Linked DNA regions of Tamandua tetradactyla. The protein of the gene in region 1 purifies or fractionates together with the protein of each later gene. This does not show direct contact. Links are inferred from orthologs where the notes say so. Each region holds a gene or a part of one and is shown in the gene's direction. Other genes may lie near its edges.

Evidence for each region.
Region 2: the proteins of ZNHIT2 (region 1) and TSSC4 purify together in Homo sapiens (affinity purification with mass spectrometry; 3 studies listed by BioGRID and IntAct, counting the BioPlex papers as one, with this or other methods). This does not show direct contact. The link is inferred for Tamandua tetradactyla from reciprocal best matches to the Homo sapiens genes ZNHIT2 and TSSC4.
Region 3: the proteins of ZNHIT2 (region 1) and AAR2 purify together in Homo sapiens (affinity purification with mass spectrometry; 3 studies listed by BioGRID and IntAct, counting the BioPlex papers as one, with this or other methods). This does not show direct contact. The link is inferred for Tamandua tetradactyla from reciprocal best matches to the Homo sapiens genes ZNHIT2 and AAR2.

Annotation. Positions count from the first base shown.
Region 1 is NC_135335.1:9,458,901-9,466,529, forward strand, and holds ZNHIT2 (zinc finger HIT domain-containing protein 2), read left to right. Parts: upstream 1-4,619; 5' UTR 4,620-6,086; coding exon 6,087-7,265; 3' UTR 7,266-7,304; downstream 7,305-7,629. Other genes in the region: MRPL49 (large ribosomal subunit protein mL49), read right to left, coding at 891-1,037, 1,165-1,289, 1,638-1,785, 2,767-2,844; FAU (ubiquitin-like FUBI-ribosomal protein eS30 fusion protein), read left to right, coding at 3,399-3,473, 3,568-3,712, 4,125-4,180, 4,351-4,476. UniProt on the Homo sapiens protein: May act as a bridging factor mediating the interaction between the R2TP/Prefoldin-like (R2TP/PFDL) complex and U5 small nuclear ribonucleoprotein (U5 snRNP).
Region 2 is NC_135335.1:2,280,663-2,288,637, forward strand, and holds the start of TSSC4 (U5 small nuclear ribonucleoprotein TSSC4), read left to right. Parts: upstream 1-4,896; 5' UTR 4,897-5,104; intron 5,105-5,318; exon of another isoform or gene 5,319-5,423; intron 5,424-5,709; exon of another isoform or gene 5,710-5,806; intron 5,807-6,619; 5' UTR 6,620-6,769; intron 6,770-6,857; 5' UTR 6,858-6,880; coding exon 6,881-7,855; 3' UTR 7,856-7,975. Other genes in the region: CD81 antigen, read left to right, coding at 316-413, 818-892, 1,174-1,278, 1,526-1,627, 2,438-2,524, 2,629-2,691. UniProt on the Homo sapiens protein: Protein associated with the U5 snRNP, during its maturation and its post-splicing recycling and which is required for spliceosomal tri-snRNP complex assembly in the nucleus.
Region 3 is NC_135327.1:16,166,387-16,173,502, reverse strand, and holds the start of AAR2 (protein AAR2 homolog), read left to right. Parts: upstream 1-4,037; 5' UTR 4,038-4,350; intron 4,351-6,902; 5' UTR 6,903-6,958; coding exon 6,959-7,116. UniProt on the Homo sapiens protein: Component of the U5 snRNP complex that is required for spliceosome assembly and for pre-mRNA splicing.

The DNA of each region.
Region 1 (7,629 bases):
GATGAGGCAGAAGAGAGGACTTAGGTCTTTCGCCCCTGAGACTCCAAGGAAGGGGACTTGCCATGAAATGGGAAGACCAGACAAGAGTCAGCATCTTCCTGCCTGCAAACTCCCTGATCAGCCTTAAAACCAGGTCACTAGGCTGAGGAGGATGGCCTTGTATTGGGCACCCCCTCGTGGGCACACCAACAAAAGCAAATCATTTAATTTCTTGGAGCTTCCATTTTCAGGATTGTGGAAAGCCAGTCAAACCTAATTCTGGTTTGGAAGGGACAGGAACTCCAGCTAGGCCCTCCAACTCTCCATCAGGTACAGAGAGCTCAGGGATTGAGGCTGTGCCCAGCCCTGTGAAGACCTGCAGGACCCAGGCCTGAGTCATCTGTTGTAGCTTCCAACTAAGCCAACTGTGACCTAGAGCAGGGGCTAGGGAATGTGAGTAGCAGGCAGCTCAGGAGGGCCAGAGAGCCAAGGAAGAGATGTGCCTGATGGATCTGCCCCGTGCTACCCTCCCCTAAACTGGGTTGGGCTATGGCTTCCACCAGAATAGCAGTCAGCACCCCCAGGATTGGAATAGCAGAGTCTACGGAGCTCAGTGAGGGGAAAGTGAAAGCGGGGTACAGCAAGTAATGCCCCCCACTAGCTTGGCTATTCCTGGTGGGTATCTAATGTAGATATCCCTCACCCACTGCTGACAGCCGTGCAGAGTCCCGTTTCTTCCTTTATGCAGACAAGGCCTGACTCAGGCCCTTTATCCTTCACCCTACCCTGTCCAAGCCCTTAGCCCTGCTCTCTAAGCAGCTCCTGTTCCTTGGTTCCAATACCCACCTCCCATCCCCAAGGCCTCCAATCTGGGAGGGATGCTGTCACAATCCAGGGCGCTCGGCAGGGCCTCAGAAGCCCTTCTCCAGGAGCCAGGCCTTGAGCTGCTGGTCAACGTACCCCTTGACCCGCAGGGTACCTGTCACTTCGCTGACCTGGGTGACAGGTGTCTTCCCCAGCAGTGGGCTCAGAAAATCCTCCACATCCTTCTGCAGGGCCTGGGGGAAGATGATTAACAGGCCTAGCCAGGAGCCCCTCTCTAGAGGACAGGGAAAGCAGGTCGGGACTCCCACTCCCTCAGCCCTGAAAGTGTCAGGACGGATCCTGACCCACTCACCCACTTACCCAAATGTCCCCCTCCACCTTCCTGATCACTGTCATCTGACGGTTGCCATGTGTGATGTCCCTGTAGACAGGAATGTTGTGCATCCGAGAGCGCCGCACAAAATAGGGCAGGTTGGGTGGAGGGTCTGTGACATGACAGGAAGGCACAGTAAGCCAACTCTTTCCAGGCCTCATTCCCACTTAGCTAAGGGCCCGTCCCCTTGCAGAGTCTGCAGAGGGTCAACAACCCTGGGCAATATCACCTTCAGATTCCAGGACAGGGGGCTCCCCTTTCCCTAAGTTTAGGGTCACGGGACTAGCGTGTTCACCCCGTTACCCCAAGCCCCAACAGAAAGGCCTGGCATTGAGTAAGTGCTCAAGAAACATTAATGGAATAAAGAAATGAAATCAAGGCCAGGGCCTCCCTGGGAGTTTGGGTCACGCTCTGGGTCCAATTTTTGCCCTTCTCAAGCCATCCCTATCACCCAGCTCACCTTGAGGGGGCTGCCAGCCACTGGGGGTGAGCTGTTCATGCTTCGGAGGCTTTGGAATGCTGGTGGGGGGTATAAGACGCTCCACAAACTGGTATTCATGCACAGACTCCACGAAGCTGGGGTATTCAGGAGGCCCCTGGGTCTGGCTCTGAGAAAGAAAAAAAATCAATTAGCCCACTGACCACTGACCCACCCACCCAAAACAGGATGGGTACACAATACAATAAGTAGATTCTACTTAATTATAGGCAGAGAAAATGGATTAAATAAAAGGCTGCAGGTAGGGAAAACACCAGATTTCAACTAGTGAGGGAGCAGGGTACAGGTAGGACTGGCAGAAGGGCCCTGCGTCTCAGGATTTCTGTGGGACTCAATGAGAATAGGCATATACATCTGAAAGGCCGAGCTGCTTCTTCCATAAATCTGACCAATGGTCACTTCTCAGTATTTTAAAGTTTCCTTTAGACATTCTATTTAATTCTAATTCTGGGCTAGGCACTTTCAGCATTCATACAATAGGACCCCCTACCTGGACAGTTTTAGGCCCACAGAGACATTGCGAGGCATCATGTTAAGTGCATTGTGCACTGATTCTACTTAATTATTAGAACGCGACAAGTCAGATATTTTACTATTCTCTTTACACCCAAAAAAGAGTAAGACACTAAGAAAATAATAATCTACCTAAAGTCACACTCCAGAAAACGTCCTGCTCTCCTTCCAGCCTAAAGATCCTTCTTGTAGACAATTCTCCCAACAGATACCTCGGAGTCTTGACAGGCCCAGGATTTACAAGAAGAGCAAGGAAGCAGGATGAAGCGGCCTACGTAACCAGGAGCCCTGGGTTCCCAGGAGTGTCGCCAAAGGGTCGGCCCCTACCCGGTGAAAAGGTTCCCTCTTCGAAAAATTGGGCAGCGAGAGTCGATGTACTACTCCTCCTAGTTCTGGCTCATCAGGATTCCCTCCCACCAGGTTCTAACTTCCACACGCCCGAAGCCGCGCTCCCGGTCTGCCTCCTTCCCTCTTGTTCTTGTACTACGCTCCAGCCAAGTGCCTCCGATGAGACTCGGGTTCCAAGGCTACAATAAATAACAGCTCATCCCTCAACCCCAAGCTCGGCCGCTCTCACCAGGTGCCGTATCCCGCGGCCCGGCTGGACACAGGTTCTCCAACCCCACACAGTAGCTCGAAACATGGACGCTGCCATCTTGACCTGCCCCCTACGTTAGCCTTCCGCGCATGCGCCCACCTGAGCCCGCCCCCCCCCTCCTGCGCGCGCGCCAATGATTGGAAGAACGCCTGCGCGGAGCGTAAAGAGGCGGGGCCAGGAAGGCCGTAAACAGTACAAATTGGGGCCGGCGCAGTCGCTCAGCAGTGACGTTGCATTCAGCAGGCGGTGAGGTCGAGTGCACACTCGTTGCTTTCTCTTTCTCGACTCCATCTTCGGCGTAGCGGCGGTAGCAACCGCGGTTCAGGTAAGACTTGAGGTATGACTGGATCTAGAGGGCTGATGGCGGATTAGTCATGAGGTCAGAGGGCGTAAGAGAAATGGAGGAAGAAGGGCTACTCTGTGCGCCTAGCTCTGTTTCAAAACCCCCCCACGTCCAACCTCCCTGGCAGGCCCGAACTCCCCACGTGAGACTCCGCGACTGCCTACCTCCATCCCTGCGCGATTCTCTCCGGCCCGCCACCCATTACCGACCCCTCTTTCCCCCTGAACATTGTCTCGCTCAAACTTTCCTTTTGTCTTCAGTCGCCAACATGCAGCTCTTCGTCCGCGCCCAGGAACTACACACCCTCGAGGTGACCGGCCAGGAGACGGTCGCCCAGATCAAGGTAAGGCTGCGTGGTGTTCCCTGGGCTCCATTCCTTTGTGCCATTCCCCTTCACTCTCTGCGGGAACGCTTAGGAATCGCATTTTTCTATGTAGGCTCAAGTAGCGTCCCGGGAAGGCATCGCCCCGGAAGATCAAGTCGTGCTCCTGGCAGGCACGCCCCTGGAGGATGAGGCCACACTGGGCCAGTGTGGGGTGGAGGCTCTGACCACTCTGGAAGTAGCCGGTCGTATGCTTGGAGGTGAGTGGGGGAGGAGCGTTCTTTGAACTGCCTGTAAGTTCTCACCGGGTGTGGAGTGGATAGTCAGGGAAGTGTACTGTCATTTCTGCGATAACACAGATAGTGCTAATCAAGTACCCTCGGTCTAGAGTGATTCTTCTCTGCCTCTCAGGTGGAACCTTTGAGGGATTCAGGGGAGATTGAGCCATAGTATAGTTTTATAAGTCAGGGGCTGGAAAATCTGAGGTGACACCCCAAAGTATGTCAGACCAGCACATTCTTGCTTAAAGGGCAAACCAATCTCTCCTGTTTTGTTCTCATTCCCTATTGGGCCCAGCTTGACATTAAAAGTTTAAGTTGAGGAAGGAGGGATTTTGCTGGATGGGGCATTTTGGCTCCTCTAACTGCTTGCTGTTCTCTTTTCTCACCGTAGGTAAAGTCCATGGTTCCCTGGCCCGTGCTGGGAAAGTGAGAGGTCAGACTCCCAAGGTAAGTGAGGGTATGAGTGGTGATGTTTGGACTATATTTTCTATAACCGTAAGCTGGGACCCTTGGCTCTTGTCCTGATTGCCATCTTCCTCTCAGGGGCTGAACCTGAGGAAAGGGATAAAAGGTTTGAACACGTTGGTCAGGCTCTGATTAACCCTCCCTTTTCCCAGGTGGCCAAACAGGAGAAGAAAAAGAAGAAGACTGGCCGGGCCAAGCGGCGCATGCAGTACAACCGGCGTTTTGTCAACGTTGTGCCCACCTTTGGCAAGAAGAAAGGCCCCAATGCCAATTCTTAAGTCCTGTGTAGTCCTGGCTTTGTCTAATAAAGCCACTTTGCCCATATGTCATTGCTTTGTCTTTATTTTGCAAGGTCTGGAGGCAGGGAGCAGTGGAAATACGGCCTTTAGGGCTGGTGGTGCATCCCCCACCACAGGAGAACAGTGAGGTTTGTTTTGTTATTGGCAACGTCAAATTAGGAAAAGGCAGAAGCCCTTGGTCTGGGGAGAAGAAATGGTAAAATGCCAGCCCTTCAGATGTAGAGTTGGGGGCCTCTAGGTCCCAAATAACTTCATAATTCTATCCCCGGGTTCTGACTTAAAATTTTAACAGAGAACGTAGCAGGAATCATCGTGGAAGGATTTGTTATGGAGTCTGTAATGGAAGGGAGGGAAGGGTTCAAATAGAAGATAAATTAGGAAATACACATTTGGTCCTTCTCTAAACTTAGGGCCAGTTGTAGGCTTCATGGAGTCCAGGACAGGAACTTAGCCTGCCTCAGTTTGGAAAGCTTCAGTGTCGGTTGGCTAACCTTGCTAACCTAATCGTAGCCATCTTTAGTTAGGTGATTGTTTCCGTGTTCCTGGATGTGGAACTCCTCTGGGGCTGTTCAAGTTTTCCTCCTTCCAACATATTCATATCAGAGGCAACAGGGATACAAATAAATAGCTTTGAAAGTTTTCGAATCTGAATCAAATCTTGGCATGGAAATATATGATCAAAATTAATTACAAGGTATTTTGGAGGCAGAACTGGCAGGACATGGGATTGGATGTGGGATGAGGGGGAAGAAAGAACCAGGGCTTACGGGGGTGCCATGGAGTAAGTCTTCACAGCCATAAGATGGTTTGCATCTCATAACATGCCCCACTCTCTCACAGACTGTAAACTCCGTCAGGACAGGGTCCTTATCTCTCTTGGCTCCCAGTAAGGAGTCCTCACTTAAAGCTTTTGCTGAGCAGCTAGGCAAGGGATGGCAAGATGACAGAAGAGATGAGTTTGGAAGAAAAAAATCAAACGAGCTCAGGTGTTAAATGATGCTTTCTGCCGATGCGGGGAGGTGCCCCCCAGCCCACACACTCAAGCTGGGCTAAGTAACCCCATTATGAGCTTTCTCCCACTAGAATTGCCCCTTGTCTGTATTCCTTAGGGGAATAGCCGCTGCTCCAGCTCAGGGACGCAGTTCACCTTCATCTCCCATAAGCCTTGCACAAGTTATGTCCCAGAGTAGGTTCTGAGGATTGATTTCAGCCTCAGCGCTTTACATATTGGAAATGCAGCTTTTTTCTTTAGGCAGTCAGCCACGTTTTGGCGCAACCACTAAGGGGCGAGCCGGCACGGGTGGACAACCCTCCGACTCCTGACCTGCTATCGGTCTCTGTTACGTCACCGCGTGGGGCGGGGCTCGCCAGGGGCCGCCCAAGCGCTACTCGGGAGAGAGGTGGAGCCTGGACCCCGAGTGTGGACGGGAATAGCCGAGAGTGCTCGGGAGGGCTTAGCGAGAAAGCGCCCCGCCTCTCCGCAAGGAGGCGGAAGTCACCGAAGAAGCGCCGGAAGCAATCGAAGAGGAGCCGGAAGTCCCCTAGCATCGCCCGTGAACGGTCGCAGTTGGTTATCAGAGGCAATTGTCATGGATCCCGTCGCGCCCTGCGCCTTCTGCCCGGTCGCAGAGGCCCGGCCAGCGTGCTATACCTGCCCACGCTGTAATGTGCCCTACTGCTCGCTGCGCTGCTACAGGGCGCATGGCAGCTGCGCCGAAGACTTCTACCGCGACCAGGTGTTGGGCGAGCTCCGCGGCCGCACCGCCTCGCCCAGCCGCCTGGCAAGCGCCTTACGCCGGCTGCGTCAGCAACGCGAGACCGAGGATGATCCCGAGGAAGCAGGCCTCAGCGCAGGCCCGCCTCCCGGCGGCCTCTCCGGACTCTGGGAGCAGCTGGCTCCGGCCGAGAAAGCGGCCTTTGAACGGCTGCTGAGCCGCGGCGAGGCCGGGAGACTGCTGCCTCCATGGCAGCCGTGGTGGTGGGGCCGCGGGGCCGGGCCGCGGCTTTTAGAAGAAGTGGATGACACCCGGGGCAATCACGCCGTGGAGGTGGAGCGTGCGCCCGCAAGGACCCCACCGCCACCGGCGGAAGAGGTTCCTGGAGACGCCCCAGGGGTCGACGCGCCCGCCGTGCCCATCCGCATCCCCGCGCTGGCCAGCCTGAGCCGCGGACCGGCTTCGCCCCTCGTGCGCTTCCAGCTACCCAACGTGCTGTTCGCCTACGCGCACGCTCTTGCCCTGTATCACGGCGGTGATGATGCTCTCCTCTCCGACTATTGTGCCACGCTGCTCGGCGTTTCCGGGGCTCTGGGCTCCCAGCAAGTTTTCTCCTCCGCCGAAGAAGCCCTGCTGGCTGCCGTCCACGTGCTGGAGGCAGGCGAACACTCGCCCGGGCCCCTGGGCACCCGGGGTGCCATGCACGAGACCTCCCGCATCCTCCTGGGCGAGGGCCGGGCCAACCAGAAAGGCTACACGCTAGCAGCCCTGGGACACTTGGCGCAGACTTTGGGCAGGGCCCGGAAACGGGCCGTGGCTGCGGAGGAGCGAGATCGCCTCTACCGGGCCCGGAAGAAGTGCCAGTTCCTTCTGGCTTGGACCAACGAAAATGAGGCGGCCCTCACCCCCTTGGCTATAGACTGCGCTAGAGCATACCGAGCCCATGCCGTGGCCGCCGAGGAGGTGGCAGCCCTCACTGGGGAGCTGGAACAGCTCTGGGGAGGCCCCGTGCCCCCCGCTCCCAGGACTCTCATCGAGGAGCTCCCAGGTTGAACTGTGGAGGCTTTGTTATGAATAAAGCTCTGACTGGTCTGCCTCTTGGCAGTGCCCATCTCTTAGTGCCAGCTATTGCCCCACCCAACCTCGGATGCTTGGGTCCACAAATCATCTCTCTGCCTCCCCCTAAATCAGGGCCGCTTCAGCCAGTCATAACTACCCGCCCCAGAATGGCAGAGAAGCAGCACTAAGGATTCCAGACGTTTATCCAAAGGAGGAAAAGTATTCTTGCCCCCTTTACTCCAGTTTCAGGCACTGACTTCATTTTCTCCTTGCTCCAAGACACCTCTTCTGTGAGGCTATTCATCCCCACCTTCTCAGGTCCTTGGTATGGAGCTCAGGGCGGGGTAGAGTGCAGGCC
Region 2 (7,975 bases), about 7.2 Mb from region 1:
GGAGGGAGGGAGGAGGAGACACGGACCCCTGGCCCTTCTTGAGTGCTCCCTGCCACTCTGTCACTGTGCTGTCCTGGGACCAGGGACCCCTGCCCCCCACCAGCGCGGCCACCTTGTCTGATAAGGGCATCCTGGGGCAGTTGTCACAGTGCAGCCCCTGGGGACAGGCGGCCAAGTGCTGATGCTGACAGCGGCAGAAAGGGTGCTGCCCTGCCAGCTTGCGGGGGACAGGGGCTCCGCCTCACTGCACCTGCTCTCAGGCTGTTGGGGCGCCAGCCACTGCGTCTACACAGCCGACCACGCCCCCTCCCCCAGGTATCTACATTCTCATCGCTGTGGGCGCCGTGATGATGTTCGTTGGCTTCCTGGGCTGCTACGGAGCTATCCAGGAGTCACAGTGTCTGCTGGGGACTGTGAGAGCTTGGCGGGGCACTGGGTCGGGGGCCACAGGGGGCTTGGGGTGGGCTGGGGACCGTGGGAGGGTGGGGTCAGGCAGGGACTGGCAGGGGGGCCATGGCCGGGCTGGGGCTAGTGGGGAGACTGTGGGGTGGACCTGGGGACTACAGGGGAGGTGTGGGGGGGCAGGGACTGAGGGACAGGGTGAGGGCGGGCCTGGGATCCTCAGGAGATTGGGGGTCATGGGGCAGGCCCAGGAGCAGCTGCAGTTCTCATGGACAAGCCTGGGAGATGGAGTAGGCAGTGCTTCTCGCGGGCCTGGGGAAGGGTCAGCGGGCAGACCCTGGGGTCTGGTCCGGAACGTGGGCTGTTTGGGTGTCCTGTCCTGTTCTGATGTTGCACCCTCCCCCACCCCACCCAGTTCTTCACCTGCCTGGTGATCCTCTTTGCCTGTGAAGTGGCCGCTGGCATCTGGGGCTTCGTCAACAAAGACCAGGTGAGCCAGAGCCTGGGGGGGCAGCGGAGAGGGCCCTGTGCTCAGGTGTGGGCGGGCGGGTTGGCCCTTAGCCGGGGATGGGCTCCCCTGGGGCCCACCTGAGAGCAAAGTCACGGAGGGCTTCCTGGGGGAGGCAGCCTCGGGGCTGAGAGCAAAGTCACGGAGGGCTTTCTGGGGGAGGCGGCCTCGGGGCTGAGCCGCGGGCAGAGCGGGGCCGTGTCCCTGCCTCCTGGGAGTGTGGGTGCACCGCTTCCACTGAGGGGTGCCCGCCCGCCCCCCAGATCGCCAAGGACGTGAAGCAGTTCTACGACCAGGCGCTGCAGCAGGCTGTGGTGGACGACGACGACAACAAGGCTAAGACCGTCGTGAAGACCTTCCATGAGACGGTGCGGGGGCCGGGGGTCAGGTCCTGGCCTCAGCCTGGAGCTGCGGGAGGCAGGAGCCTGGTCCCCTGAGCTCTGCACCCCTGGGAACCCAGACGGGGTGCTGCTGGGGCCCAGTTTTCCGCCCTTTGCTTGATCCTGGGGTCCTCAGCATCCCCCAGACCTCACCGCACCCCATCACTCTGTCCCGGCCGAGGGCTGGTGGGAAGGCGTGACGCCCTGGCCCAACCACTGCCCTCGTTCCCTGCAGCTCAACTGCTGTGGCTCCAGCACCCTGACCATGCTGGCCAGCACACTGACCAAGAATAACCTCTGTCCATCGGGCAGCAACATCATCAGCAACTTCCTCAAGGTACGTCACGCCCCTCGGGGCGACCCCTGAGGCAGGAGTGGGGCTGGGCCTGACTGTTTCTGGGTGGCGGGTCCCTGGCCAGCGTGGGCAGGCTGCCCCTTGCTGGGACACTGTGGCTGGGGGGTCAAGGTGTGGCCGAGGAAGGCCATGGCATCTGCTATCTCCGTCTGCTGGGGCTCCCAGGACAAAGCTGCCTGCTGGGGGCTTGTCTCACAGCGTCTAAAGCGCCAGGGTCTTTCTCCCAGGCTGTGTGCTGTGCCGGCACTAGCCTGCTGCTTCCCCGGCGGCCCCTTCGCCTTCCCTGGCCGAGTTTCAATGTCCCCAGCGTGTGAGGCCTTCAGTCCCATTGGTGTAGGGCCCACCCCAGTCCCTTTGGGCCTCTCTGCAGAGGTCCCATTTCCCGTGGGCATGCGCCCGCTGGGTGGGGCGACAAGTTGAACACATCTTTCTGGGGGGACCTGTCTGGGGATCTGGGGATGAGGAGTTGGGCAGCTTGCAGGCTCCCCCAGGCAGCCATCTACGGCCCCATGTGAGAGGCCGGCACTCCTGGTGCCCCTGGGAGGCCACTGTGACCGTGCAGGCCCCCAGATGGGTGCAAGGGGCTCTGAGCTGGGGGCAGGGGGGTGGTGCGCACTGGCCCAACATGGCTAGGAGGAGGCAGGGGCAAGCTCCTTTGGTGCTTTTCCTGTATTTCCCATACTTTTTCTGTGAAGCTTTGTAGCACCAGGAGGGAGGGTGTGGGCAGGGGGGTGGGACAGTGAGCCAAGGGCTGGTGCCCTGCAGCCCTAATGACTCCTGTGTTCCCCACAGGAGGACTGTCACCAGAAGATCGACGACCTCTTCTCGGGAAAGCTGTACCTTATCGGCATCGCCGCCATTGTGGTTGCTGTGATCATGGTGAGCCGGCTCGGGCGGGTGGGGGCTGGGACTCTGGGCCGCGGGGGTCTGGGGGGCCAGTCACTATCTCCCTGTACCTCACGTGCCCACCCCTGTCCCCGCAGATCTTCGAGATGATCTTGAGTATGGTGTTGTGCTGCGGCATCCGGAACAGCTCCGTGTACTGAGGCCCCGGCAGCCCTGGCTGTGGGGTGGGGGAGGGCAGAGGGTAGCAGCCAGCCAGTGGGACCCCCACGGCCCTCCCCTCATGACCCGGCCATCTCTTAGGCGGCCCCTGGCACCACCTGTGTATATAACGTTTCCGGTATTACCCTGCTATACTTAGCATTTTTACTTTTGAGGTTTTGTTTTGTTCTGGTTTCCTGTTACCCTTTTGGGGCCTGCGCCAGGCGTAGGTGGCAGGAGAAGGGCCTGGGCCCAGCCTGGGGAAGCAGGGGAGGGGTCCACGAGGAGTCCCTGCCTTGGGGGCTCTGTCTGTCCAGCACAGCTGTCCAGGGGGGCACCTGTCCCGGCTGATGGGCTGTGTCCTCCCACCCCAGCCTGACCTGGGGGCTGGGCGTCTCCCGCCTTTTTTAATCCGCGTTCCTCCTCCCACCCCTTTTCTAGAGCACCCGTATGCCTTCTTGCAGCTATCCTTTCTAACATGTCATCTTCAACTGTAACTGTAACATCTTGGAACAGTCATTCAATAAAAAAGGAAAACCAGGCATGCTAACGTGGCTGCCCGAGCCCCTTCCTGTGCCAGGCAATGCCACACCCCGGGGATGGCTAGAGGCCTGGGGGGCCCCAGCTGGCTCTGGACCCGACCTGGCAATGGTGGACCCATGGTCCTTGGACAACGGTCCATGTGGCTACAAGATCCCACCCCCCACTCCTCCCTGCTTCTGAGGGCTGTTCCAGCCTTGGGTTTTCCTCATGCTCGTCAGAGCCCCACACCCCATCTGAGAGCACCAGGGCTGCTCTGGGGCTGCTGTCTGCCTGGGACTGCAAGGATTTGGCATGGATGCCTGGTGCTAGCACTCCTTCCCCTTCCTTCTGACATGTTCCCCTCCTGAAGGGGTGAGGGACTCTTCACTGCCCATCAGGAGAAGCTGGGAGGCTGGAGTAGGGTTGGTGGGGAAGACCACCTGGCCTGCTCCCTGGGCCCACGGAGGTCTTTCTGTTCTAGAGGTTTCAGTGAGTGCAGCCCAGACCCTGCTGCCTGGTCCCCCGCTCCCTGGGAGCCCAAGGATGCTGAGTGAAGGTGTCATGAGCTCAGCTGGGCCCCCAGAGACAAGTGCCCATCTGACTATGTCAGGGATAGTCCTGACAAGTGCCTATCTGACTATGTCAGGGACTTCCAGTCCTGCCCCGGGGTCTCAGCAGGCCTCCCCCATTCCCTACTACTGACGCTCGGGCAGGTTGGGACAGCACAGGATGGTCCAAGGAGCCCCTTCTGCTGCCCCTGGATCCCTGCCCAAGACTGTGGCCTGGTGGTCTGGGTATAGCCTCGCGTATGGCATGCTGCAGGATGAGACGTGGGGTCCAAAAGTAAGTTTATGGTTCACTCGACAGTGGGATCCTGATGAGGCAGGTGGGGACTGAGCCTCACAAATGGGGTATTTCAGGGTTGCCCAGCACATCAGGGACTGAGAGGGGGCACGTCTCAAACCCCTCTGGGTCTTTTTTGGGCTGGACCACACAGGACCTTGAGTCCTTGGGTTCCCAGGAGAGGCCAGGCCGGGGAAAAGGGCAGGTTCTCTCGACCACCACCCCGTCCCCCTAAAAGTGGAGCTGGGCAGCTGAGGGGCCTCACGGATGGGCTCATCAGCCGTCCCGGGGGAAGGGAGACCAGGACCTCCTTCTCTGCTGTGCGGACGTGACCTGCCTCACAGCAGCGGGCCCCTCCAACAGGCTGCCAGCCTCCCGAGGCGGGGCCGTCCGGGCCACGGCCCCCAGGCCTACTCGGGCTCTCCCCGGGGGCCCTGGGAGGACGCAGCCAGGCGAACGCTGGGCCCTGGCTTCCCCACCTGCAGGTCTCCCTTTCACTTCCCCTGAGGCGCGTCTCCCCGGTGACCGAAGGAGGCAGGCGCGCCGTCAGTGCCCCGGGTAGAAAGCCCAGATGGGGCCCGCTGTCGTCAGAGCCCACGTGGCGGGGATGGCTGGCCGCGGCCGCGTCCCTGAGGGAACCAGGAGGTCCGCGGGGCCGGGGTCGGGGAGCGCCTGGGATGCGGGTGGGAGGCACCCAGGCCAGCGGGGTGCCCAGACTGCGCCCGCATTACGTGTCGGCTGCAGCCAGGCCCGGAGCGGAGCTGGCACGGCAGCTGGCCGAGGCGGGGACGGGAACGCGGCGGAAAGCGCACGAGCGCCGGCAGACGGCCCCGGAGCTGAAACTCGGACTACAGCACCCGCGAGGCACCGCCCCTTCCGGCTGAGGCGCGAGGCACCGCCTCTTCCGGTTGAGGTCCGAAGGACCCACCCCGCTTAGCGGCGCTCGAGGCCGCGCTTCCGGCGTGGGCCGTCGCGCTCTCCCTGCGGCCCCCCTCCCCTGGTGGTGTTGGGACGCCTGGAGCTTCACGCTGGCCGTTAGCCCTCAGGATTGTGAGTGTCGCAGCCCGGGCCCCCGCACCCCTCCGCGTCTGAGTCAGTTCGGGCTTCGTTCTAGAAGAAGCGCCGCCGCTGCCTGGGCTGTTAGCCCCCAGCGCGCGGAGATTATAGGGAGCGCGCACGCCGACGCCCCCTGGCCTAGCAGTCCCGGCATGCCTCGGGCGCCGCGCCCCCAGTGCCTTGTGGGAGTTGTAGTTCTCTGGCCGCGGGAGCCGCCGCGTTCGGCCTCAGAGGACTCGGTTTCCCAGAAGGCCGAGCGCGGCGACCCGGCGGGCGCGCCCATCAAGATGGAGGCGAAGGCCGCCGAGAGCTGGTAGGTTGTGGCTGGGAGGCGGCTGTCCGCATCCCCGAGCCCAGAGGTCCCGCGGCACACAGGACCCCCTCCCTTCGCGGCCTGGCCTTCGGGACCTATCCGGCCAGAATCTACCGGCTCCCGAGAGCCGTCCCGTGGTTCCCCGACGTGGGGAGCCTGCGCGTGCTAGCTCGCTGGGTCCCGAGGGGAGAGACAACCGTAGGAAGCTGCCCCCTGTCCCCGGCTGCCTAGACCCTCAGCCTCCGCTCAACTCTGCGCTCCGCTAGCTGAATTTCCTTTATTCCAGGAGTCCCGCCCACCAGGCTACTTTGATTAGTCGCGGCAGCGTCCCCGGGGTGCAGAGGACAGTGCGAATTGGGGAAGCAGAGTCCGGCTGGAACTGGGTAACTTAGGCCGATTATTCCTACCCTGAGATCTCCCCGTGTCTGGCCCGGCAGGGAGCTCTCAGCCCCTCCTGGCCTGTCTGCATCCTCAGGGTGCAGCAGCCAGCGAAGCTGGGCAGGAGGAGGTGGTGGTGGCGATTGGCTGGGGGCGAGGCCGCGCTGTCCTCAGCCTGCGGTCAGCCAAGCTCCAAGCCTCCCAGAGACGCCAGACCCTGCCTGTGTCTCCAGCACTTCTCTGACTGCCTGGATGCCGCAGGGGAGATGCGGAATGGAGGTTGTTCCAGAAGCTGCCTAGGGCCTGTTTGTCAGAAAAGCTGCTCCAGGTGGTCACTGACTCCCCAGTTTTCCAAGACTTGGATGCGAAGGTCTTGATCTCTTCAGAGCTCCCAGGGCAGTTCCCTGCAAGTACATGCCAACTTCCTGCCCATGGACCAGGAAGGTGCCCCGACCTCTGTGGGATACTGAGTCTGTGCTGGGTACTCTGTTAAGCAGTTCGTCAAGGGCCCTGCAGTACGTGAGCAGAGGCTGTCCTCATCCTAGGCTCAGACCCTAGCTGAGTTGTGGACCAGTGAAATCCCCCCCACCCCCAAGTAGGCCAGTGAGTCTGCTGAGCCTCCATCTCTGCAGCCTGCACTTAAGACGATGTTGTCTTAAGAGGGTTATTGGAATTAAGTGAAGTAATGTGTTGGTAGTGCCTCCTGCAGTGCCTAGCATGCACTGGGGGCATGGTGAACACAGGCTCCCTCGTGAGTGCCACTTTGCACGCTCACTCTCTGGCCTGATGGTTGAGTCTCTTCCCCAACCCTCATCCAGCTGTAGCTGAGCAGCCAAGCAGAGCCGTGCTGGGGAGTCTCCTGGGACTGGGAAGACCTCGCCTCTGCAGCCGCGGAACTGGGTCAGGGCGCCTTTGCCTCGCCAGCCAGCACTTAGGCACCAGCTTCAAGCGTCCAGGAAACGAGGGAGGTGAGAGAGGGCTATCCATGGGTAAGGGTGGGACCCAGGCCCTTTCTCTGTAGAGGCAGCTCTAAGTCCCTGGGCTGTTTGCGTCTAGGTGTGGTGCAGCCCTCGGCACACATGGCGGAGGCAGGGGCAGGCGAGCCGTCCCCCAGCTTGGATGCCGAGCGTGGGGCAGAGTATGATGCCCTGCCTTCTGACACAGTCTCCCTCAGCGACTCGGAGTCGGACTCGGACCTCAGCCTGCCGGTCGGTGCTGAGGTGGAAGCTCTGTCCCCTGAGGGGCTGCCTGGTAAAGCTGGTGGGGATTCTGAGCCTGATGAGCCCCCCAGTCTCCCCTTGGACCTCCCAGGAGCCCCCGTCCAGCTGTTCCACCTGAGAGGCATGAGCTCCACCTTCTCGCAGCGCAGCCGGGACATCTTTGACTGCCTGGAGGGGGCGGCCAAGCAGGCCCTGCCCTCTCTGGCCCATGTCACCAGCGTGGGTGACGATGGGGACTTCAAGTTGCCCCCTGTGCCCCCCAGCCAGCCTCTCAGAGAGGCCCTGGGTAGGTCTGGTCGAAACCCTGCTCCCCTGAGGGCACCATCTGTCCCTGACTACGTGACCCACCCCGAGCGCTGGACCAGGTACAGCCTGGAGGACGTGGCCGAAGCCAGCGAGCAGAGCAACAAGGCTGCAGCCCTGGCATTCTTGGGCTCCCGGGGCCCGGCTGCCCCCACTCACTATGCGCCCTCCTTCAACCAGGACCCCTCCAGCCGCGGGGAAGGAAGAATCATCTTTTCCAAACCGGCCCGGGCTGGTGAGGCCAGACCTGAGAGGAAGAGGGTCCTGGGCAAGGCAGGAGGGCCAGGCAGGAGTGTCCCTGGGGACCTGGGGCTGGCAGAGGCCGAGGACTCCGTGGAGTTGGCCCATCTAGTGGCAAGTCCTGAGACTGAGGGGGGGCTGCCCGAGGAGGTTGCCCGCAGTGAGTCAGTGCTTGACCCTGGGGGGCCCCCAGTGGTGGAGGCTGTTGGCTTCCATGGTAGCAAAAAGCGGAGTAGAGAGCACTTCCGGAATAAAGGCAGCAGCCCCGAGGGCCCAGAAACTGAGGCCTGACAGAACGACTGCCCAGCTAGGTCACTCTGGCCGCTGCCGAGGCCCTGCCTTCTGGGCCCAGGCCCGGCCCTCACATGAGCCCCATGGTGCCCCATGCCCGCAGCAGTGAGCTCTGCCGGG
Region 3 (7,116 bases), on another chromosome or scaffold:
AAACTTCTTGCCTTTCTCAACTTGAGAGCTCTCACTCCTTTGGGGCTAAGAAAGGAGCTGGGGTGGTCCATCCTTGCTGGGCCACTTGGAATTTGGCTTGGGCCTCTCTGTCTTTGCAGGAATTGGGTGGCCTGAGCACCCTGGACATAGGTCAGAGGGAGGGTCTTTGTTCCAGGTTTTGCCTCTAACCTGCTCCCCCAGAGGCACCTGCCTGCAGACTCTAGGTGTGAGGTGGTGGGAGGGGACACAGTGACCAGCTTAGGGTGTGGGCTGGCAGGGGTGTCCTGAGATCTTCCAAGCAGTGCCACTAGGGATGAGAGGAGCTGCGAAGCTGAAATCTAGGGCACCATTTCCTCCCCATCCTCCTCTTCACAGGGAATATAGAATGTATCTTGTCTGTCTTCAGCCTACTTTTCTTTTTCTTTTTTTTTTATGGTTCTCATCCTTTCTGTGCAGCCTCTCTGCCCAGAAAGCCATGTGGTGGTGTGGGGAAAGTCCCAGGAGGGCCACTGGGGGTTCTGGGGAGCCACCCCAGCTCAGCCCCTAACTCATATGGGACACTGGGTGAGTCCCATTCCCTCTTGGGCCTCAGTTTCCCCATGTGGGAAATCAGTGGCCTGAACCAGATGCTCCCCAGGGTTTTTTTCCACTCTGCCAACTTCCGTAGCTTCATTTTCTCTTATTTTGCTCTTTTGGGATCTTCTCCATCCAAGGGTACAGGAAGTTCCAGGACCTGTTTCAGTTTTTTTAATCCTGCAAGCACATTCCAAGACTGGCCTGAAATTGCATGAGCAACATCATCCTAAATATATTTTTTTTTCCAAAAGCACCTTTCCAACCAACTGCAATGCTGTCCTGTTCCTTTCCTCACGTCCCTCTCTCCTCTCTCGTACCCGCGCTCCCACACTTCAGTGCTCCGTGCTGTATGCGTGTGCTCTCTGTTCTTGTATACTCAATAAAAGTGAAATAAATGTGTTTGATGCTGAACCACACACTACTGTGTCCTCTCTGTCTCAAACCTTGGCTCCCTGCACACGCCAGCCCTGTGGGAAGAGCTAAGGCTGGGATGGAAACAACCCAACTTAGAACATTTTACTCGACAAATATTGAGAGCTCCCAGGGTGTTCCAAATCTTGGGTTACGTTTTGCAAGTACAACAGCGAATAACACAAAGACCTGCCCTTCAGGAACTCACAGGCTAGCGGAGGAGATAGACCCCAAAACGCAGGAACAGTCAAAGACAATGACAGAGTGATCAACAGCAGGTGGGAACAAAACCAGTGGTGGGGACGGATCTCTGAAGGAGACCCCTTTCAATAAGGGGGGCAGGGAAGGCCTTCCAGAGGAATTGATGTTGAGCTGAATGAAGAGAAAGAGCCAGTTAAGGTAATGAACCTGGGCGACAGCATTCTGGGCAGAGAGAACACCACGTGGGGTCCCACGACATGGAGGGGCTTAGTGTGTGGAGGGATAGCTTGGCCTCTCCTCCTCCTGCCTTCATGGGGATGTCGCTCTTCCTGCAACTCCCCTCCCAGAAGCCTAATGCATAACATATACCACAGCTCCAGTGTTAGTCTTTGCCTGCCACTTCCACAAATGCTGCCATATCCTGGTATCCCCTGTCTCCTTATAGACTTGCCATTTTTCTTTAAATTGACTCACTTTTAAACATTAAATTTTTTAAAACGGAAACTATATTACTATATCCACAAAGAGAAAATTAGCACCATTTTCCAAAGAATGGAAGTTCTCGTAAAAGTAAAAATGGACAAGTTTTAAAATAAAAAAACCATAATCCATGTGAAATGTAAACTCATGTCTTGGGCCATCCGAGGCACACATTCCACACTTGGCTTTTTATTCCCTCACGTGAGTCACCCCAGACCACCTTTCTCTATTGCCCAAGTCTTCCAAGCAAGAACCACTGCTAATAATACAATGCCTTTTCTTCCAGTCTTTTCCCATGAATATGTATTTTTTTTCTCACAAATTTGAGGTCGCAATGTACATACCGTTCTAGATGTTTCTTTTATATCCTATATTCTTCCATAATTCCAAATACCAAATACTATTTCTTTACTTTGGAAAGGTAATTCAATAAATCACACAAAAGGCAGTGAAAAGTAAATCTTCAGCCTTCTCCAGAACCCTGTCCAAGGCCAGAGGCAATTGCTGCTGAGAGCTCTGAATCATTCTTTGCATTTTCTCTTTAGATTTCCTTTAGCTGTCACCCGCTGGGGGTTCTGGAATAGAAATTGGTCTGCAAGCATTGAGTCCCCACACAATTCCTCAGAACCCCACACAGCCTGGATCTGTATCTCTTGTCTCCCATAAATACAGGGCCAGCCTCTGAGCTTCTTGGGAATAATTTGGGACTTACTTACCTAGATCAGTTGTTCTCAACACACCACCCTACCCTGCCTGGGGACGTTTTTAGTTGTCATAACCGAGATTTCCTACTGGCATGTAGTAGTTAGAGGCTAGGGATGCTGCTAAACATCTCACAATGCACAGAACAGTTTCCCAGTCAATAAAGAAATATCCAGCCCAAAAAGGCAGTGGTGCCAAGGTTGCAAAACCCCGATCTAAATGGACCTGCGACCAACGGGTGGGATTCCAGGGGAATCATCTACAGCTTCATTTGTATGTGTGGTACCCTGAGTCTCTGAGAAGATAGCGAGCCCACTTAAAATAGGCAGGTCTGAGACAAAACTGTGGAGTTCAGCACCCAAGATTTGGAGTCAGGAGAGAGCTAAACTTCTTCAGGCAGGAAATGGAACTGATGTGACAGGCTGAGATTGGCCCACATGACCATGACTGATGGAGTCCATATCTGCTTAATCCTGTGGCAGCTCATCATGATTAACCATGACTGCAGCCTACAGTCCACTAAGAGATGGATTTTGACTGAGGCAAATTGGCGTGGCCAGCTGTCAATGAGAAAGCACACAGACAAGCTAAGGAGTGACAGCACAGGAACAACAACCAGTCAGACCCTGGTTTGCATACTAGCTCTGCCGCTCTCTGGCTGTGTAACCTCTCTGAACCTCAGTTTTCTCTTCTGTAAATTGGGTATACTAGGGTTAGTGTAAGGATTAGAAATAATATCCCAGGAGTGGAATGAACTAGGCAATATACCCGGTTTCCTAGGACATGAGTTACAAGGAAAAAGTCTGACTTACAGGGATAGAGTCTACTTCATAGGGTGTCTGAAGGGATTAGAAAATAAGTGTACACCACTGTGAGGATCTTTCGGATGCGTCAACTCAACTACAATCCCCAGTTATCTAATCAGACAGCAATTTAGGAATTGCTATGAAGGTATTTTGTAGACGTGATTAAAATCAGCAGTTGACTCTAAGAGAGATTGTCCTAGATAATCTGGTAGGCCTGATTTAATCGATTGAAAGGCTTTAAAAGCAGAGCTCAGGCTTCCCTGAAGAAGAGATTCTGCTTCTGAACAGCAGCTTCCACTCATGCAGGAGCTTCCCAGCCTGCTCTTCCCAACACCCTGCCCTACGGATTTCAGATTTGACTAGCTAGCCCTCACAATCACATAAGCCATTTCCTTGCAATAACTGTCTTAATATAGATCTCCTCCGGGGTCTGCTTCTTTGATTAGTTGAACCCTGACTAACACAACCATCTATCACAGGGCTAGGCCTAGGAATAGAAGATTTTCTTTTCTTTTTCTTAATATTGAATTACTGTCATTATTAATTAAGTGCATAACACATGTACTGAGCTGAGCCTTTGTGGTTGGCTCTGTGCTGGGCTCCAGGGAAATAGTGCAAAACAAGGCAGGTAGTTTCCCTCCCTCTGTGTTTATTTATTGCCCCACTGAGATATTAGACTTAGGCCTGTGCCGCTAGACCACACGGTGATGAAGGCCAAAGGGACTGACCGGGAGACCCTGCTGCAGCTGCGAATAATTCTCCCCGGGATAGGGGCTGGCTGTCTAAGGCTCTCCCCAAAGGCTGAACGCAGCTGGAAGCCGCTCGAGACCCAGACTGAGCGTCGATGTCTCAGGGGCAGCCATGACCTTGACCCCAGACTCAGTGACCAGGACTGTTCGAGATCAAGGAACTATGGCTAGTGGGTGTGTTTCTGGAGGCAGAAATAAAATGCATTGTTCAATGAACGTTGTCCACGATTCAGGAACTAAAACGAGTAACTAACAGCAGTACAAGGCTGCTCTTTGATGGGGCGGAACCTGCAGGCGCGGACCGTTTCTCCCGTGTTTGAGGGCGCCGTCGGGCGTCTTTCTCCGAAGCTCCCATCCGGCGGTGAAGCCGAGGGATTTCCGGTGCGCTTCCGTGGTACCTGAGGTTTGGGTCGAGGCGGGAGCCGGTGAGTAGGGTTTCCTGGCTTATTTCTTCCTTCTCTGCTTTTGGTATCTGCGTGCCCGGGGCCACTGTCTTTCTGGCCCGGGACCGCGGAGTGCCCTGAATTAGTTTCACCTCGCATGGGTAGCCACGTCTGGGTCCGTGGGCCGGGTGGTGGGACGCTGGAGTCTCCGGAGGCCCTTCTCCATAAGAAGCCAAGACCCCGTCCGCCTTCCCGGGATACATGGGTAACTTCGTTTTTTCCACCCTTAACTTTAAGGTTTGGGGGCCGGAGACCTTGAATTATCCCCAACTGCCTGTGTCCTATTCTCTGTGACTTTGGGCAAGGTCTTTCCCCGCGCAGAGCCTTTGTTTCTCTTTTGCAAAACAGAGGTTATACTTTTAGTAAATAAATGTTTATCGAGGGTCTAATATGTGCTGTGGATGCAGTGAACAGAAGGATTCAAATCTTGGAGGTGACAAACTTAAATCAAACATGCAAAATTGCAACCGTATTGTGTGAAAAGGAGAGGCACCAGCGTCTCAAAGGACACCTCACCTAACCCCGGGGTCGGGAGGCATTATTAGGAAGGAGTTGACTATAGCGGTCAGATCGGAAAAATGGTTTGGCAAAGAAGGGAGGGAAGAGTATTCTGTTCTACCCCGTGGAAGCCTCTTGTTTGCCTGCCATAAAGAGACCAGTGTGACTGGAAACAGCGAGCTTTTGGAGGAGCATGGGATGAAACCAAGCTGGGGAGGTTACCAGGGGCGAGACCATGCAGACTTCATATAGGCCATGATAAGAATTTTGGTTTTCCAAGAGCCACGTGGAAAGCCACTCAGAAGGTTTTAGGTGTGGATGGGACATGATTAGATTGGCATTTTGCAAAGGTCATTCTGACTGTATGGAGAATGCATTGGAGTGGCAAGCGCTCTCTGGATGAGGGATGATCGTATGTTGGATTAGGGTGATGGAGAGAAGTGAATGGATGCGATTTTCTGCATTCCAGAGGGCTGTAAGACAGGTTGGTAGGTCACTTTTAAATCTTTCCTCAACATCTCTTCCATGCCAGGCCATGTGCTAGAGAAGAAAATTACAGGCTGGTGGAGTTAGAAAGAAAGGAATTATTAAGGAAGAGTAAACAGGTGTCACAATGGGAAATGGGTTATTGATTGGCATTTTAACTATCTTCTGTATTTAAGGCTGGGGATAGAAAGATGAAGATCCAAATTATTTAGAGTAGTGGTTTTCAAATGCTTTTTACTAACTTACATAACAAATACATTTTACGTTGCAACCAGCACACAGATTTTTAAAAAAAACTACTCATGGTAAACTCTGATTTTTAAATTCTCTTTATTTTTTAAAATGCTGCTTGAGACCCTTCAAATTGGTTTCATGACCCATTAATGGCTTCAAAATGGCAGTTTGAAAAAAAGATTGATTTAGAAAACTTTTGGATTAAGATGATAAAATATGCTCTTAACAATTTTGGGGAAAAAGCATTGGTCTTCCTTTCCCCACGGTTTTATTTTGTTTGGTTTTGTTTTAAGGGGGGAAAAAGAGTAAACAGGATGAAAATTAGCTGGCTCTTCTGTTTGTGAAATTTTGTACATTCAGCTTGATTATAAGTGCCCACAGGGCAGTGATTGTCTTAATCTGTAGATATTTCCTTTAGTGCCTAGCAAAGTCCCTGGCACAGTGCAGGCCTTTAGTGACTGTTTGGTGAATAGGTAGATGTCTTGGGACTAGAAAGTTAGTTGAAATTACCTCGTGTTCGAACATACAGAGGTTTTATCAATATGTCTTCATTGGTAGCTCAGAGGTAGATGAAATAAACTGATACTAGGCCTGTCATGCTGCTTGAATCCTCTCTGGTAATTGGTCCAGAGTTGCCACAGACTGTGGACCTTTTGAGAAGTTGTTTTATTCCCTGGACTTTCGGTGTTTGTCAGTAAAAGGAAAAGAGGGGTTTGTGGTTCCACTCCACAAAACCTTTTGTGAATTTTAGATGCTACTTTTTTCTCCATAGTGTCCTAATTACAACCTTCTGTCAATTTTGGGGCCTTTACTGAATCTTATAGAAAAATAGGTTTGTACTTGATTTAATCATTCTTTCAACTTCTGGAATTCTCCAGCAACAGGTTTCAGTCAGAGTTAAAGTTTGAAGATAGCCCATCCAGGCTTTCTCCATCCTCACCTTTTGTTGTAACAGAGAGATCTGAAAGCATGTCCTAGAAGTGGACAGTCAAAAGGACAGTGGCCTGGAGAGCAGGATACCAGGTTCTAATTTGAGTCCTTCTGTGACCTTGAGTATATCATGCCTCTTTAACTCAGGTATTTCCAGCTATGAAGTGAATGTTCCTTCTCATTAAAAATAGAAAAATCCTCTTCTATCTGAGCCTCACTTTCCTCATCTGTAAAATGGGGCTCATAATTCCTTATCTGCAGGATTGTGGAGAGGCTAATGGGAGATAATTATGTTAGGAGTGTAATTCAAGATCTGACATGTAGAGAATGCTTGGCAAGTGAAACTACCTTCCTCCAGTTCTCCTTAACACCAGTGTCTTTTTCAGCTGTTCGCGAAGGCAAGGAAGAAAGGTTCTTCTTTTGGTCACTCACCACTGGCCCGATGGCCACCATTCAGATGGATCCTGAGCTTGCCAAGCGTCTGTTCTTTGAAGGGGCCACGGTGGTCATCCTGAATATGCCCAAGGGGACGGAGTTTGGCATTGATTATAACTCCTGGGAAGTGGGGCCCAAGTTCCGGGGTGTGAAAATGATCCCACC